Drosophila melanogaster: one gene and its partner. The protein of the gene in region 2 purifies or fractionates together with the protein of the main gene of each other region. This does not show direct contact. Each region holds a gene or a part of one and is shown on either strand. Other genes may lie near its edges. The genes, in order: Vps45 and Syx7.

Evidence for each region.
Region 1: the proteins of Syx7 (region 2) and Vps45 purify together in Drosophila melanogaster (affinity purification with western blotting, with the first as the bait; one study listed by BioGRID). This does not show direct contact.

Annotation. Positions count from the first base shown.
Region 1 is NT_033777.3:9,562,366-9,566,293, forward strand, and holds Vps45 (vacuolar protein sorting 45), read left to right. Parts: upstream 1-1,558; 5' UTR 1,559-1,660; coding exon 1,661-1,753; intron 1,754-1,816; coding exon 1,817-2,015; intron 2,016-2,066; coding exon 2,067-3,499; 3' UTR 3,500-3,727; downstream 3,728-3,928. Other genes in the region: CG9393 (uncharacterized protein), read right to left, coding at 1-205, 452-730, 825-971, 1,071-1,157; CG16789 (uncharacterized protein), read left to right, coding at 3,859-3,928.
Region 2 is NT_037436.4:21,443,627-21,447,554, reverse strand, and holds the start of Syx7 (syntaxin 7), read right to left. Parts: upstream 1,722-3,928; 5' UTR 1,532-1,721; intron 1,395-1,531; 5' UTR 1,301-1,394; coding exon 1,180-1,300; intron 1,113-1,179; coding exon 1,043-1,112; intron 693-1,042; coding exon 548-692; intron 475-547; coding exon 58-474; intron 1-57. Other genes in the region: Alp1 (alkaline phosphatase 1), read left to right, coding at 2,805-2,880, 3,455-3,714, 3,819-3,928.

The DNA of each region.
Region 1 (3,928 bases), on a different chromosome or scaffold from region 2:
TGATGCGGTTGATAAAGTTCACTAGGTTTTGGCAGCCCTTAATGTGATTCTGCAGTGGATTGTTAGGCAGTGCGATCTTAAAGATGATGGCAAGATAGCTGTAGACAATGGCATCAAACTCGCTGTAGGTGTCGCCAAAGAACCACACCTTGCGACCCAATTTCCGGGAGAGCAGGTTCACCACTTTTTTGGCATTGACAACGAGCTGTAAAGTAAAATGATTAATTGATAGTTAAAGAAACGTCTTGCTTTTCACAACATTGATAAGATATATTGATAACAAAAGACCAATACATGAGAAACTGTTTCTTATTAATATAAACTGATGAAACGTTTCCAATCGAAATGCAGCTTGGGTGTAAAACATAGGTTAGATAAACAAATTAAAAAATCCTCGGATTTAAAGATACAATAATGTAATATGAGACAATATGAAATTGAAAGCACTCACGTAGTCGCCTTCGTGCTTGTCCAACTTGTCGTTCACATCGAAACCGGCCATCACCTGAACCACGTCGCAGGCTTCCCTTTGGTAGGACGACGGGTAGTAGAAGTTGAAGGGGAATGGCGTGCGCTTGGCGTAGAGGCCCCGCGTGGTTGTGTCAAAATTGTGAGGCTCTCCAAACAGGAAGTAGTGGTAGTAGGCATGCAGATTGGTGAACACCCAGTTGGCGTAGGCGGTGGACAAATGCTTTTGTTTAGTGCTTAAATGCGCATCTATCGGGTAACCCTGAAAGAATACGTCGAATTAAGCCCATAAAAAAACACATATCTATAAATAGAGCCTGCAGTTTGTTCACCCCGGCATTGTTTTGCTCACTCACCTCGAGATCCAGCACGCGCTTAATTTGCCTATAGCCCGCGAACTTCTGGTTGCCGATCTGCAGATACGGCAGCTTCCCGGCTCCCGAACGCAGCGGATTGGAGCTGGTCTGCACGTCCATGGGGCAGCGGGTGAATCGCAGGAGGCACTGTTTCCGGCAAAGAGGCGCTTTCATCAGTTTCTTTCATCATCTGCGATAATGGGCAAAACAGGCGTGCTGGCCGCCGTGTGATGCAACGGAACTTACCAGAGCACGTAAACATTCAAAATCTATGGACGGCAGTCCGTACTCCCCCTTGTACACATACAGCATGGCTCCCAGTTGCATCTCCATTGTGTCCTAGTCTATGCTTTGCTCGTACTCTTGTATTTAGCCGGTTTTCAACAGTCCACCTGCATATCAGCCATCCGAATTTGAATCCAAAAATATATGCCAGAATTTCTGGCCGACTGCTGCGAGTGCTTCAGACTGATAACTACTGGGCACTCGATATATCGCTCGAGCATATCGGCGCTTTATCGATTGCCGGCCAGGGATGTTGCTACTCGAAGTTTATTTTGGCTAATGAAAAGATACGGAATTATGTTTGAGCTTAATTGCTATTTATGTTTATCTTTATTGCTATTTTTATTATACTACCAAAAAATTGTAAGTTTTTATCTATATGCATTTTTACATATTCACATTATTTTACATTAGCTAGATCTAGCGAATGTTACCCAAATGTTTGGTCACCGCTGTTATCACGGAGCTATCGCAATTGGGGCATCTCCAACCCATCTGTTTGCGAAAAAAAACATTAATTTCTGATTTTCGCAGTAAATTAGTTAGCAGTCATGAATCTGATAAGCGGCATTAAGTTGTACATCGAGAAAATGTGCTCCGAGTCGGGACCGGGCATGAAAATCATTCTGCTGGACAAGGAGACGGTAAGTGCAAGGACTGACAATCAAATCCCCTGCCATATGATCAAAAATTCACATCATTCGCAGACCAGTATAATTTCGATGGCCTTTAGCCAATCGGACATGCTGCAACGGGAGGTGTACCTATTTGAGCGCCTGGACTCGGGAAGATCCAACGAGCGGTTAAAGTATCTAAAATGCATCGTCTTTATACGCCCCACCAAGCAGAACATCCAGCTACTGGCCAACGAGTTGCGGAACCCCAAATACAGCGCCTACTACATTTGTAAGTGGGTCAGTAGAAGCACCTTCGGAATAGTACTAAACTCATAAATAGATTTCAGCAACATCATTCCCCGGACGGACATTAAATACTTGGCAGAGTGCGACGAATCCGAATCGGTGCGAGAAGTGAAGGAACTGTATGCAGACTACCTGTGCGTCAACCCCAATCTGTTCTCATTAGGCATTCCCAATTGCATGGCGAATCTTAATTGGCTGCCGGACGCTCTCAACCGCAGCATGCAGGGCATCACAGCCGTGCTGTTGTCCCTTAAGCTGAACCCAGTGATCCGGTACCGAGCCGGTTCTCAGGCAGCGCAGCTTCTGGCCAAGCTCATATACGAGCAAATCACAAAAGAGTCCTCGCTATTCGACTTTCGCTCCAACATGGATGGCGCTGCGCCACCGCTGCTGCTTGTGCTGGACCGCAGGGACGATCCTGTGACGCCGCTTTTGCATCAGTGGACATACCAGGCCATGGTGCATGAGTTGCTGCACATAAAAAACAATCGATTGGACCTGTCCAATTGCCCCAATGTGCCGAAAGACTTCAAGGAGCTGGTCTTATCCGGTGATCAGGATGACTTCTATGGCAACAACATGTACGCCAACTACGGCGAAATCGGATCTACCATCAAACAACTGATGGAGGAGTTCCAGCGCAAGGCGAACGACCACAAGAAAGTGGAGAGCATAGCAGACATGAAGAACTTTATTGAGTCATATCCGCAGTTTAAAAAAATGTCTGGCACTGTGCAAAAGCATTTGTGTGTGATTGGAGAACTGTCGGCGCTGAGCAACAAGAGGAATCTCTTCGAGGTTTCCGAACTTGAACAGGAGATCGCTTGCAAGGCGGAGCACTCGGCCCAGCTGCAGAGAATCAAAAAACTAATTGCCGACGAACGGGTTTCCATCGATGATGCTCTTAAGTTGGTGGCACTTTATGCATTGCGATACGAGCGACACGCCAACTGCGACACATCTGGACTGCTGCAAATAATCAAAACGCGCGGTGGACGAGCGGCTATAGTGCCATCGTTGATTGAGTATGCTGGAACCCATGTACGACAAGGAGATCTCTTCAATATGGTGCGGATAACGGACGCCGTAAAGCTGACACGGAATTTGATTAAGGGCCTTAAGGGTGTGGAAAATGTCTTCACACAGCACACTCCTCTCCTGAAGGAAACTTTGGAGGACGTGTTTAAGGGCCGCGAGCTGGATCCCCTCTTCCCGGCCATCAATTCAGAGCTTGTGCCATTTCGACGACCACCGCAGGAGGTTGTCGTGTTCATTATTGGCGGTGCCACGTACGAGGAAGCCTTAGCGGTGCACCAGTTAAACAACGCCGGCTATAAAGTCATTCTTGGCGGCACCACCATCCATAACTCGCAGAGTTTTATCCAAGAGGTCGTGGCCGCCACTAGTGGCATTCAGTTTAAGCACACCAAATCCATGATCAAGTACTGTTCCACGGATAACATTTAAAGTCTATTTTGACTAGATAGCCCCAATTATATTGTTAACTATTTATTAACTAAATATGAATGTGCATTATGTATTAAGGTATTCCATGCATTGTACCAATTCAAATCCATTGGACTATTTAACCTTTTAAGCGTAACCATGTAAACATATTTATTGTTATTCTCGAGGGTAACACCAGGCAACGCCTTGGACAAAATGTATTATATACAACTATGTGTGTACAAAATTACTAAACTCTCGTTGTCCTTGCAATAATTCCACCCCGTTTCGGCAAAAAGTTCCTTGGCAACTCCCAGGCAACGTTTCGTTTGGCTCAAACAAGAATCTGATTTTTCATTGGAGGAGTATCATTGACCATCATGTCCAGCACATATTTCAATGATATCTGGCACCAATCCCAGCATGAATGCGAGCTTCTATCCACGATTG
Region 2 (3,928 bases):
TAATAAACAACATATTTAAATTATTTAAAATAATAACCTTGTAGGGGCGGCACTTACCCTGTAAGAGCTCGCCTTGCGCAGATTTTCCGTGCCCTGCGAGACAAAAATGCTAGTCTGTTCCACCTGCGACTCGATGGAGTCCACCGTCAGTCCCTGCTCGTAGACCAGGGCGCCAAGCTTCTTGTATATCTCGTTCACGCCCACGATGTTGTTCTCCAACTCCCGTATGACCTGCTCCTGTTCCTCGAGGGCCTGCAGGTCCGCCTGCTCCTCCATCTGAGTCTGCATCTGTTGCTGGTTTGATTTGCGATTGAAGAAGTTGTCCTCGAAGAAGGAGTTGTTGTCCTGCTGGCTGGCGCTACTGTTGGAGCTGCCGGTACGCGATGAGCCGGGTGGACGGGCGATGTTGTAGCTATCTCCGCGCGCCTGCCGCAACGCCGTCTTCTCTATGTCCGCCGTCTTGCGCTGAACAGACTAAAAATACCAATGATAAACAATCAGCATGACTCACAAAACCATTTGCTTATCTGGGAGAACAAAAACAAACCTGGAAGGCGGTCAGTGCCGCCGTGAACTCGTCCACGAGCCTATCCCGCTGGATCTTCAGGTGGCGCTCCTTGCACTTGTCCACCTCGTTGATTTGATTGTTTGTGTCGGTCACCAGCTGGTTGGTGTAGGTCATTATTTGGTGGCTGTGGAGTAAGGGATTGTTATTTTTATCGTGCGTTATACATTGATTTGATTTGTGAATCACACTGTGCTGATACGTTTAAACTTTCAAAACCAATGACTGACTACAATGTTATTTTGCTGTTGGTTTATGTGGTCGGTTGATGTGCGCAAAATGTATTAAAAGGCTGTATTGGCTTAAGAAGATTTTTAGACATTGTGAGTAAACACCCAATAGAGATCTTCACTATGTCTTTAGAATTTATGATTTGTCTGAGAGATATTCGAATAATCGATGTATATCTGCAATGGGTTCTATCTATGGGGACAGTTTAAATTCCAAACGAAGAGATCGTAATGATAATCATCTTACAGCTGCTTCTTGAGCTCCGGAGAATCTTGGGGCGTGTTCAGTTGATTGACCATGCGCTGCATCGTGGACACTGCGAAAGAGACAGAAACCTAGATTAGTCATAGGCGAAAGTTGGCAAGTGCTTCGACGCCACTCACCATTCTGCTGCACCTTCTGGATGCTGGTGGCTATAATCTGGGCCAGCCTTTGGAAATCTATTTCGCTTAGGCCACCTCCTCCCCCGCCGCTTAGACCATTCTCCATATGCTGTAAGTCCATGCTTTCGTAGGCAGACACTTTGATGACCTTCGAGTTATCGCTGGAGACAAGTTGTTCCTGGAGAGACAGACAATCGAATTAGCCCCGTGGCCCACTTATATCACATTCGCTTTTATGCGTCTCAGCCAGGTTCTTGATTCTATATTCTATATTCGTGCTTGTTTGTTAGTTTGTCTGTTTGTCGGAATGTTTGCAATTCGCATTCCCTTTGTTTGCTGCACAGCCACACACCTTTTGTGGTTGCCCTAGCTGTCGTTGGTGACCTTCGCCGGTGACCTTGATCTTAGAGCATTTCCTTCGCACTTTTTACGCGTTTCGCAATCTGAAATTTGTTGATTTAAGTAGGCGGAATGTTCGCAAAACTGAAATTTTAGCTAGGTTTTTACAACAATTGGAATGGAACTGCCAACTTGTGAGAAAGTCACTTTCGACTAATACCCAAAAGTGCCTTAGCGCGTGATGCGTTTAGCATCACTTCCTTGCTACGCTTTACAGCACTTCAATTATATCGATATCTGGCGCGGCATTCAAATAGCAGATATATAGAACTGCATTTTAATTATATTCTTCCCCCTATATTTTGTCTCGAAAATGTATATAAGTCCTGAGATTTATTATTGAAAATCGATCCATGTCTAAAATGAACTGCTTAATGTTATTATTCAAAATTATAAATTATTATTTTGCACTTTTTCTCCAAAATTAAAATGTTAGATTAGGAAAATGTCGTATAGAAATGAAAATGACCAACAATGATGCCTTATAAAACAAATAAGTCGAATTTTAGACAGTTTTCCTTCCGTTCAATAAATATGTTCATACCAAATTTAATAATAATGTAGGTATACAAAACTATTTTGCTTACCCAGAATGTTATTCAAAACTTAAAATTTAACATTGTACAACTCAGGGTATTTGAAACCTGTTTAGCAGAAATAAAATTGAAGATTATTACTTTTCTTAAAAAAGTCAAATAACTGGTAGACAAAATAAGTGCAACTCGTTTATAAAAAAAATCAAAAGCAACTTAATTCAAATTAACGTTACAAATTAGTGTATTGGAGATATTTATCAGTATCCGGTGTTTGGCACGGTTAATGAACTTTAGATCGCAGAATGAATTAGGCTGCTTCGATGCATCCACTAATTACATCATCTCCTACTGCGATGCAAGATATTATGCAAATGACCAATGCAACGAACCTGATTTTTGGAGAACATCATTTTAATCTAAGCTGTGCTGGCTGCATAATTTGAATAAGGGCATAAATGCCTTTCTTTCATCCCGAAATTCCGGTTGGTAGGTGTATTTAGAAGCTTTATAATACAGGGACGGGTTTTAATTTATTGTCTCAGTGTTTTTTTATAATTCGACTCGCATTTTCGGTCCCTGTCTTACCGGGCTCGTATAAATAAGCCTCCAACTGCGAAATGCGGCTTAGTCGATCCGTAGACTTCGTAACGCCCCGACCAGTCGAAAGTTAGTTCATCAAAATTCCGTGCGATGCGTGCTCTCCGGTTCTTTGCGGCTCTTGCCCTCCAACTCACGGCCTGTAGCAGCCAGTACAAATATGGGCCAGGTGCGTAACGTCAAGACCGAGATCAGAAACGGGCCCAAAAGACCCGAAATGAATAAATGAAAAACGAGTGAGAGTGTGCCAGGTCGAAAGCAAACTCAAAACATATGCAGAATTGATTAATCAAGTGCTAAACGGAGTATAAAAGGCGTCAGCAAAATACTCGTAAATTGAATTAAATATTTGACACCCGCTAACAGAGCTGTCAAACATCACTTTTTCCGAAGGAGAATGTTTTAACGAAAGTGGATATAAGACTAATACTTTAAAATTTAAATTTGAATTAATTTTAATGCTTAATTTCCATAGGTTTCTTTCGGTGTTTTATTTATGTGCTATCTTCTGAAAGCAATTTCCCTTTTTAATGATTAATTCGAAAGTGGAGTGGAAAACAATGGCAATTGTGTCTGTGCTTTTGTTTTGTAAAACGAAACATGTGCTTGGAATTGATAAATTCTTGAGGTTGTACTTGAAATGTGTATGCATATCGGCTAGTAACAAAAAATGGTTTCAATTAATCAGAATAATATGCATTCTTAATTTATAATGAAATAAGCTAAAATCGCATTACTTTCAGAGCAATCCTGGGACCTCGACTCTATTTCCGAGTTGAAGAGCAAGGAGTTCTGGTTTCACGACGCCCAGCGCACGCTCTACAATAAGCTATCCACTCCACCAAACCAATATCGTGCCAAGAATGTCATATTTTTCCTGGGCGACGGTATGTCCGTTCCCACGGTAACCGCAGGCAGGATCTTCGATGGACAGCTGCGTGGAGTGGTGGGCGAACGGAATCGTCTGGAGTTCGAGAAATTCAACTATGTCGGTCTGTCCAAGGTACTTAGAAGTCAACGAAGTCATTTGTTATCTCAATAAACTGCTAATAAATTTATTAAGTCCGTTAATAACTAGACAGTAATTACGCCCTTCTGTCATTGTAGACTTATTGCGTCAATAAGCAAGTGGCTGACTCCGCCTGCACAGCATCGGCCTATCTGTCGGGGATCAAGGCGAACTATCTGACCATCGGAGTGACAGCCGATGTGGAGTT